Linked DNA regions of Daphnia pulex. The protein of the gene in region 2 purifies or fractionates together with the protein of the main gene of each other region. This does not show direct contact. Links are inferred from orthologs where the notes say so. Each region holds a gene or a part of one and is shown on either strand. Other genes may lie near its edges.

Region 1 (4,231 bases), on a different chromosome or scaffold from region 2:
TCACGGCATGACGCTAAAGTCGGTGACAGAAGGTACTCAACCTCGCAAGGCTGCGGCACCGACTGCTGTTGCCCCTACAGCTGTTGCTCAACCACGTCCCTCAACCGGTCCGACCAAGCGAGTATCTCGAACGCCAATCATTATTATTCCATCCGCCAACTCCTCTCTAATCACCATGTTCAACGCAAAGGACGTGTTGCAAGATCTTAAGTAAGGCTAAAATTAGTTCAAAGGTTTGACTTTCTGGTCGATTTAAAAATGAATTTTCTCTTGAAAAGGTTTCTTAGCACAGAAGAAAAAAGGCAGCAGGGTTGTCGAAGAGACAACGAGATCCTTTTACAAAGACGCAAAGAAGGAAATCTAACGGTGCCCTATCGGTGTGCTCTCTATTAACTAAAAGTCTCAATGTGTTGATTAAATATGGAACTATTTTCTTGTAGAGTGATAGACAGTCCCCAGAAGCTAGCCCCCGCGGATTGGGATCGAGTCGTAGCCGTCTTTGTTATGGGCCCTGCTTGGCAATTTAAAGGTTGGCCATGGACTGGAAACCCTGTAGAAATCTTCGTTCAAGGTTTGTTGTGCTAAAATACGCCATGATTTCAATTCGAGATTTAAACTCTTTTCGTTGAAACAACAGTCTCCGCCTTTCATATTAAATGGGACGACATACCTTTGGATCAGAATGTAGCAAAATGGGCTGTAAATGTGATTTCTTTGTCCCGAACTAAACGACATCTTGATCGCGCTGCCCTAATGACGTTCTGGGAGAAACTCGACAGGTAAGCATTCCATGTTCTTAGTCTTTTATTCTCCTTGCATAAATATTTTCTATTTTATCCAGGCACATGTTAAAAAACAAACAACATCTTCGATTTTGAGCATCACTTTCAACGAGTTATGGGGTATCAAAATCTTTCTTACTAATACGCGTTATCTTTCGAAAATTTGTTGGCACCTTCTGTAATGTCTTTAATTTTGATTTTGTGATACACGGACCTGTTCACATCCAATCAAAATACTAATCCAATTTTAAGGCTCTTTCTTATCCAATTGGTGTTAAAATTTTTTAAGGATTGTTGTTTTTGGTGATAGGCTGGAACTAAATGGCAGACGCCGAGGACACTTTTAAAGAATATATTCCTAGTGGTAAAGTGGATCTCACCAGCCTTCAGCTGAGTTGGAAATTGCTTACAGGATCATCAGAATTTCATTGGCAACACTGAGAAGACGAAGACAATGTTTCATAACTATGTAGTTGATTGCCAAACAAAAATATCAGTCATTTTTTTATGCACAACAGAGTTAGCTTGAATATTTAAAAGAAAGAACGCACTCGATGATTTCCCGTGAAACAAAGTGTATTCTGATCTTCTTTCCATCTGATTTTCTCCGTCAAGATGGAAAGAAAACGCACGATGTGAAATTGCTTCCTACAAAAGAGCGCTATTAAAGGGCTCGGCAACAGCAAAGTGAGAACATCCAGTAACCCAACACTAATCCTCGCGAAATGAATGGACAACTAAACTTGCATGTAAAAGCATAAGGTGAAGAAAGCTGAAGAGCGTGAAAGGAAACAGAGAAAGCATTGGTCGACTGGAGAGAAAACAAGTCAAGAGAAATAAACAATTCAAAAAAATCAGTTCACTAAGCTTCGAACGCGTTATCAACTGAGGGGCCTACAAAAGAAGCATTCTAATTTTGGGTGACGTTCTATCGAAAAAAAAACGTCGTTTGTCGAAGGGATTTTGTGTTGGCTTCCAACCCACTAGAAACAGACTTAGGTAGGGTCCACTATGTTGGATGGTATGGGTATAGCAGTTGTTTCCCGTATTTTTCGACATTAATTTGTTGAAGCCCATCAGCTCCGTTATCGGCTCGTTCGTCTGGACACCGCTCTCTTGCTTCAACGGCAGATTGCTAGTGCTGCTTATGGTGTGCGACGTTGAAGGCCATTTGATAGATGGGCATAGGTCTTTCGAGCTGTCAGTTGATGAACGTTGGATTTCCCCTTTTCTCTTTTATCTTTAACTGCAAGATGAATTCAAATACGGTCGGCTGCCGCCAGGCGTCGTCATCGTCAATTTTCTTAGGGTCTTTTTTATTACTGCAACGCCTTACAGTTTTCAGTATGGCTAAGAAAAGGTCGGCATTAGATTGAAAACAACAGGCTCAATCAAAGAGTAAGACAAATTCGCTTCATCAACCTACCTGCGTGAATTGAGAGCCATGGCGGAAGAAGGCTGAACGGCCCCCTTGATACGTCGAGTCTTGAGAGAGCAGTCCATCCATTTGCGACTGATAATCTGATGACATATAGGCGTCTTGTGACGGATCTAACTGGGATAGACCCGATTGCGATAGTGCTCCGAAGCCCGAGACCGTCTGCGACATCCCCTACAAGAACATTTAAAATGGATAAGCATACCTTCGCGACCCTTTCAACTTGGCATTATTTAGTACCTGTGACATTCCTTGGGTGAGAGCCATGCCACCCTGGCTGAAAGGCTGCGTTGATACATCCTGTGTATTCTGCGAAAGTGACTGTGTAAACAGCGAAGAACTTCCCTTGCTTGCGGCTTTGCCAGCGCGAGGCCCACTTCCTCGGGCATTGTCTTTTGGCCTCTGATTGGATTTGGATGAACCATGCATCCCTTGTTGCTGCTGGCCGTGGAATCTAGGCGGGACGTGCGTCATGTTCATAAAGACACCCAAGGGAACGGGCATAGCAGAAAGAGCGGCCTGTGCCCTCTCTGGAGCAATGTAACCGATTGGATCGTGCAAACGGCTGTACGGATCTCCAACATTGGCCGTGGCTCGAGGTATGTAAGTATTCATACCATTGTTGTTTGGTGGTTGACCCCCACCCGAACGATCATAGACGGAACCAGGAACCATGGCCTTTAAATGATAAGATTATTTTAAAATAGAATACAAGATCCTTGACAGACAAGCACTACATAATTTGAAATAATTCTTTTGTGAATACGAACATACCTGGCGTGCGTCGTAGACGGCTGTGGACATGAAATGCTGACCAGGATTAAAACTATTAATTGGTTTCTTTGGCTTGGGAAACTGCATCATGGATTCTTTGAGGTTGTTGAGAGCTCCCTCAGTTAGAACATGATTTTCTTTGTAAAAGTGAAGCAGGTGATTCCATACAGGCTGCTTGGCCAACACTTTAGGATTGCCTACAATAATGATTCCGTAACGGGCGCGAGTCATAGCAACGTTCAAACGACGGGGATCGTTGAGAAAACCGATTCCTTGGTTCTCGTTTGAGCGAACACACGACATGATGATGAGGTCTTTCTCGCGACCCTGGAAAGCATCTACACTAGCTATTTCGATATCCTTCAAAAACAAAATACAAATTTAAAGATTTCGTAAAAGGTTTTGAAATATGAATTCCCTTACTTGGTATAATTTAGCATGTAGTGATCCTTGATGTTGCATGTACTGTACAAGATAAGCTCTTTGTCCTTCGTACGGTGTGATGATGCCAATTTGTTCTGGTTTGACTCCGGATCGAAGAAAACGTGTAGCAATCTTTTCCACATTTGACGCTTCCGTTCTGTTCAAATAGGACGTACCCGATCCAGCAATTTCCTCCTGACCCAATGTAACGTAGAAGAACATGGGCCTATCTGGCATTGGCCAAGGGAAATCTACCCCGCGAAGGATTCGGTCTTCCGCGCAAACACCATTCTGTAGTGATCCCTCGTAAAAGAAGTTGGAAGGAAACTCGGACAACCTTGGGTGCATACGGTACTGTACTTCCAAACGGAAGGGCCGGATGCCAAGTACTACCAGTCTTTCAAACAGTGATTGCGAGAGACCAGCTTTGGCAGCTGGTTTACACATCACCACTGGGCCCAACTGACAATGATCTCCAACCAGAATGAGCTAAACACCCAAAACATTGAATTAATAAAAATCTAAAACACATAATACCAAGGGATTCTTACCTGTCTTGCTCCTAGGACGACAGGGACCATGCATTCAGGTTCAGTAGCTTGCATTGATTCATCGATCAAGATAGATGCAAACTTAATGCGAGCCAAGCGAACATCACCAGCACCAACACAAGTGCACGCTAATACATCTGCTGCTTCGAGTAGCTCTCGTTCTGCTTGTCGCTTTAACATGCGGTATCGCTTTTCATCTCCCTGTGAAAGCTCACCGACTTCCTCCTTAAGCTGGACCAGCTTTCGCAACTCTGAAGCTCTAT
Region 2 (5,181 bases):
ACACATACACACACGCACCCTCCACAAAACCAGCAGAACCGCTCTCCAGCTCCGAACACTCGCTCAGACCAAGCACGACTCAGCCCAAGCCAACGGTATCTTGTAGCCTCATGGCCGATTCCCCCCTCCCATATACAGAGAGAGAGTGGAGGGGGGGGGGAGGTGGGTTCAAAACGCGCTAGAGAGAAAAATAAAGAGGCCTCAACCGTAGAATGGATTAAAAGGAAGGTACGGTGTACCCTGCAGTACACATCCGCCGAGGGAAAAAGAAACGCAGGAGCGAGAACAGCCGCTTTTAAACGACGTCGACGGCGCCTATAGTTTTGGATTGCCTCCCCCTCCTTCTTTTTTCAACCAGCAATTCAAAGAGGTGGTGGTGGAGGGGTGAGAAAGTAGGGTATAGGGTGGTGAGGGAGGGAAGGACGCCGCGGCTGCTGCTGCTGCTTTTTTTTTTTTTATCTTCAAGGGTCGAGGACAAAGAGGTTTTCTACCGAGCAGCCTCAGGCACAATATATTCTACCCCTACAATATCGTGACGGGCTAAAAATGAGCACTGCAGAACCATCTAGCGACGGCCGGAAGTGAGTAGACAACCTTGGTGTTAGGAACTATCACGACTACTCTTGGAACACGGTGCCACTCTCTGCAGGTGAAACATTGACCCACCCGCCAGCGCTGATAGTACCTATTCAAAACAGCCTTGAGGACATACAGATGAGCAAGGGGAGGGAGGAGGAGGCAAAATAAACAACTACAACGAGAGAAGTTTAAATAACTTTCGAGGAGGAGGTGGCTCCTCAATGATAGTCTCTAGATTGTTGATTCTTGTCACGTTCACGAAACCGCCACGCTTTCTGTGAGGCAGAATCGTAACTAATATCGGCGTGACCGCGTGAAACTGTTGAGGAGGGATAGGTACACTGCACCCAAGCACCCGTACAACTGTTTGAATATTTTACTAACTATGATGCTCTATACTCACCAATTGAAAGAATTAAAGTGGAAGTAAACGAGTCCTAGGCCATAAAGATAGTTGGTATCTCTCCAGTGGTCAGCTCTTAGAGAGCGGAATTTCTGGTAGGCTGACATTGCTGCATGGAAATGAAAAGTTGGCATACAGAGAATTACAATGCAGTAATTGAACAAAATAAACCTTTTGGGTAGTCTTCAATGAGAATGTTAAAATGGCCCAATTTGCAGTAGGTTTTTGGATCAATATTGATTCCCTTCTCTGGGCTATCTGATTCATTTTTTAGCTGTTGGTGAGCTTGACTCAGCATCCGTTCCAAATACTGAATTGCCTATAATTCATCATAGTTGAGATTTTTCAATTACAAAGAATATGAACTTAATCTTACAAACCTTCACTACTAAAACTTTCTTTGCAGCATGTTCAGGATTGTTGAGTTGCAGGAAACCATACTGACGGCTGAAACAAAGTAACGGTGTGAAAAAAACAACACAGATTTTTTTAATACAATGCAATATACCTATCAAGTTCTGATAAAATTTGAAGCTCCTGTGGAGTCAAGTTGATATCTACAGTATCTTTATCTTGTTGCGTTTGTGTCATCTTCATTGACAACCTCGAAATCGGGCAAGGGTAATTCAATCCAAATTTTCAAAACGAAACGCCTATCGTTAGCGTCGATCGGTGAGCAAATGAGCTACAACTTGAAGAAAAGTTCTTCGATTTTTATCCACAAAATATTAACTCCTTTCCATCAGATAAAAACTTTTGGCATCAATCTTGATTTAAAACACAAAAATATCATCATAGTTTTTATAAAAAGTTATTATTTTTTTTTGCAATGACAGCCAAAACAGACACAAGCCTAATGCAGGGTTGCCTCTGTATAAAGTGTAAAAGTGTAATTTCTAAAATTGAACATCCTTATTCATTTAGGATTTGTTTGGTGCATTCGTTCAAACTGGATAGTTAATTTTTTAAATGGAAGTACTATTTTTTTATTGGGTATAGGTTATATTTCTTGATAATTTAAGATGCTGTGGCACTTGTGGAGTTGTGGGTGGTTGTGGCCTTGTATGTATGCTGCATGATATGGGAATTTGAGATATTCTAATTTCTAATTTCCGACGGGTTATCGTTTCAAATGCCTTTTTGCTCGTGCGGCTTGATTATAAATCTAATTAAAAGTATAATTATCTTAGATGTACATGTATAATCTTGCCTAACTATAAGGTGTTGAGAAATGAGAAGTGATGGATATGTAGTTATGTATACTTGTTTTTTGTACCCTAGTTCGGGCGAGCTCCCGGCTCCGGGAATAAGTCTCATCCGGCCGTATGATCTTTCGTTGACCTTGCGAATATTAGAAATGCGAAATGCCTATTTTTAAGCAATAGAGACTGCTTTCTTATCGTCTTTAACATCTACCAGGGTTTTAATTTCAGATGTTTTGCAAGGAAACTTAGCAACATTTTGGAAGTCCATGGCCTTATTAACCTGGCCACAGATAAAGACCACGTCGTCTTTATCTATGACCTGGCCTTATGGGAGTTATGGCCATGGATGGACATTTTGTAAAATAAAAATAACACTAGAAATGGATCGGGGATTCGGGGTTATAGATGTATTTAAAATATTTATAAACTTATTCTGGTTATATTAGCACTATGTTAGCACTCTGGCTGGCATGCAGCTGAATGGAGCTGGTTAGCAACGCAGTTTGTAATCCATGTTTAATGTGGTTAGAAGTTGCTTCTAATTCAAATGGCGCGAGAAAACCCACCCCCCGCTTTATTTTCACCCGAGGCCGAGACAACAAAGTCAACAACTACGTGAACTGAATCACTGTTTGCTCTTTTAGAGTGTAAAAAGTAAAAACATTGTATTTTGTTGGGTTTTAATACTTATTTTTCTATAAGAAATTACTGAGCTTACAATGAGTCCAAGAAAAGCTGTTAAAACAGAAAAAAATTCTGATGGTGAAGAAACTGTGTCTGAAAAGACTCATCCTAGCACTCGTATGCTACGAAAACGCGAATGGGATTCTGCCAGGTATAAATGCTTGCTCATTAAATAAATTATCAGTTCCTGAAGAAACTAACCATATTTATTTTTTGTGGCTAAAGCATTATAAGTCCAGAGAGGGGTCCAGCTCAGAGGAAAGAAATCAAACGAGAAAACATGCAATTGAAGCGCTCTCTGACAACTTCTTATGCCCAAACAGAAAAGAAAAATTTGATTAAGACAGAAAAACAGTCATCTTCTGCTTTGGCGGAGTTAAAAACTGCAGTCAAAGATGAGAAAACTGAGGTTGAGGTTGAAGACACAAGTGACAGGAGCTCAACTATTTCCTCCAATGGTGAAGTTGAAGAAGATCCCCTAGTTCTGTCTCGAAGACAGAAACAAATTGATTATGGGAAGAATACCATTGCCTATGACAATTATCTCAAAACTGTACCCAAGTCAGTATTTTAAAGTTACATGTGCAAATCCAAACATTTCATACTAAACTTACAGAAATTTTCCATAGAAATAAAAGAACCAAGGAACACCCCCAAACCCCTAACAAGTACAAAAAGTACAGCCGAAGGGGCTGGGATGGATCCATTAAAGTGTGGAGGAAAATGTTGCATGTCTTTGACACATCTGATGCCAGTAACCCAAAGGAGAAAGAAAATGCAGCTGCTGCAGATAAAGATGTCGAAGACGTCCTTGATTACCTCCCTTTCGACCTAATCGACGACGACGTTGTTTTATAAACATGTTGTCTACACTCTTCATCATCGAATTTTATGTGAAATCTTGCGCCCGTTTATATTGCACTATTAAGAGTGACAAGCAGGTCTTAGTGTTAATTACTTTTGACAACTTCTTTTTTTTTTTTCTTAAGTTCGGCTGCCTAAAGAGCCTCTAATTCTTCGATAATTTTGTTCAACGATCTTCACCGTCTGTACCGTGAAATATGCACCTAATTAAACATGTTCGTCATATGCATTAGCATGTACCATTTATTTGTTACTTGTTTTCAGGTCTAATAGCATTGAGATCATTTTTGAATTGTCTTCCTCCATTCGTTTCTCTAGGCGGCCAAGTCGTTCCTCAATTCTGGCCATCATGCGTTCTTCCATCTCCTTAATTTTCTTGTCTATTATCATCTCGATACTGTCAACATTTTTCCCATCTTGATTGAATCCTTGCATTATTGAGGACAGCAAATGATTAGCGCCAGCAGATTGCCCCGAGAGAGATCGCATTGAAGGGGTAGCTTCCACCGTCACTGCAGAGATCCCATACACCCATACAGTTGTTGCTTCCTTTAGTTTGCAAAACTAAATAAGATGGGGGATATTTAAAATGGATTCAGACAACCTGGCAACCATAGTGTGAAATAGGAACAACCTTCAGAATTATTTCTGACTGCATCTTCTTCAGATCTATTCTGCATTCATACAAAGAAGTGCCTTCTACTTCTTCCAGAAGTTCCCCTCTCACTGTCATCAGATATTCTTCATACTGCCCATGTACTTCTATCATGGGAACCTTGAATTAATTAATTAATCAAAAGAATAATTTGGCAACAGATAAAAAGGAAGATAGATCTGGGCAATACCTCAGATAAAATTTGAAGGGCAGCAAATTTTCTGTTGTTTTTAAGAATAATTTTTAGTGTACAGGGGCCAGAGTCAGGATTCGATTGACTCATATTAAAGCAATTTTCAATACTAGTTTCCTCAGACAATTCAGACAATTGTTCCTTCCACAAAATTTTTGTTCGAACAGCATCAACATTTTCGATCTTCCAAGAGCAATCTATTGTCACTGCTTCGGGATTCATTTCGGCCTGACGTAGGTGTGGTCTGTGTGGAATTCTATGAAAACGTTCTAATACAGAGAAAAAAAACCTGTTATTACATAAATTAATATTTTTGTTACGAATTCCAACAAACTTTATTGAAAATTGAAGAAACCTTCAAAATTTGACGTCCAAAACTTGACGCGCGCGGTAAAGTCAATTGTTTTGCTGATAGATACCCCATCTGGGGAACACCCGACAAACTTGTTTTGTGGCTCGTTGAAGGTGACCCTGCCCTTCGTTCGTTCCCCACACCCGTTTCCTAGTTTATAACATCGGTCAATACCGGCATTGCTACCGTGACTTTGAAACTGAACGCTTGCATTCACTCCAATTTCAAGAAAATGGTTTACAAGAT

Evidence for each region.
Region 1: the proteins of histone RNA hairpin-binding protein-like (region 2) and regulator of nonsense transcripts 1-like purify together in Homo sapiens (affinity purification with western blotting; 4 studies listed by BioGRID and IntAct, with this or other methods). This does not show direct contact. The link is inferred for Daphnia pulex from reciprocal best matches to the Homo sapiens genes SLBP and UPF1.

The regions. Positions count from the first base shown.
Region 1 is NC_060017.1:7,852,064-7,856,294, forward strand, and holds the end of regulator of nonsense transcripts 1-like, read right to left. Parts: intron 4,228-4,231; coding exon 3,969-4,227; intron 3,907-3,968; coding exon 3,418-3,906; intron 3,355-3,417; coding exon 2,995-3,354; intron 2,899-2,994; coding exon 2,461-2,898; intron 2,395-2,460; coding exon 2,209-2,394; intron 2,133-2,208; coding exon 2,124-2,132; 3' UTR 1,341-2,123; downstream 1-1,340. Other genes in the region: parafibromin-like, read left to right, coding at 1-210, 279-377, 441-571, 638-779, 842-878. UniProt on the Homo sapiens protein: RNA-dependent helicase required for nonsense-mediated decay (NMD) of aberrant mRNAs containing premature stop codons and modulates the expression level of normal mRNAs.
Region 2 is NC_060020.1:3,613,620-3,618,800, forward strand, and holds histone RNA hairpin-binding protein-like, read left to right. Parts: upstream 1-2,069; 5' UTR 2,070-2,906; coding exon 2,907-3,022; intron 3,023-3,096; coding exon 3,097-3,432; intron 3,433-3,500; coding exon 3,501-3,729; 3' UTR 3,730-3,964; downstream 3,965-5,181. Other genes in the region: lysine-specific demethylase 6A-like, read right to left, coding at 983-1,091, 1,154-1,301, 1,363-1,429, 1,491-1,579; uncharacterized protein LOC124192277, read right to left, coding at 3,979-4,299, 4,370-4,510, 4,581-4,805; phosphoglycerate mutase 1-like, read left to right, coding at 5,168-5,181. UniProt on the Homo sapiens protein: RNA-binding protein involved in the histone pre-mRNA processing.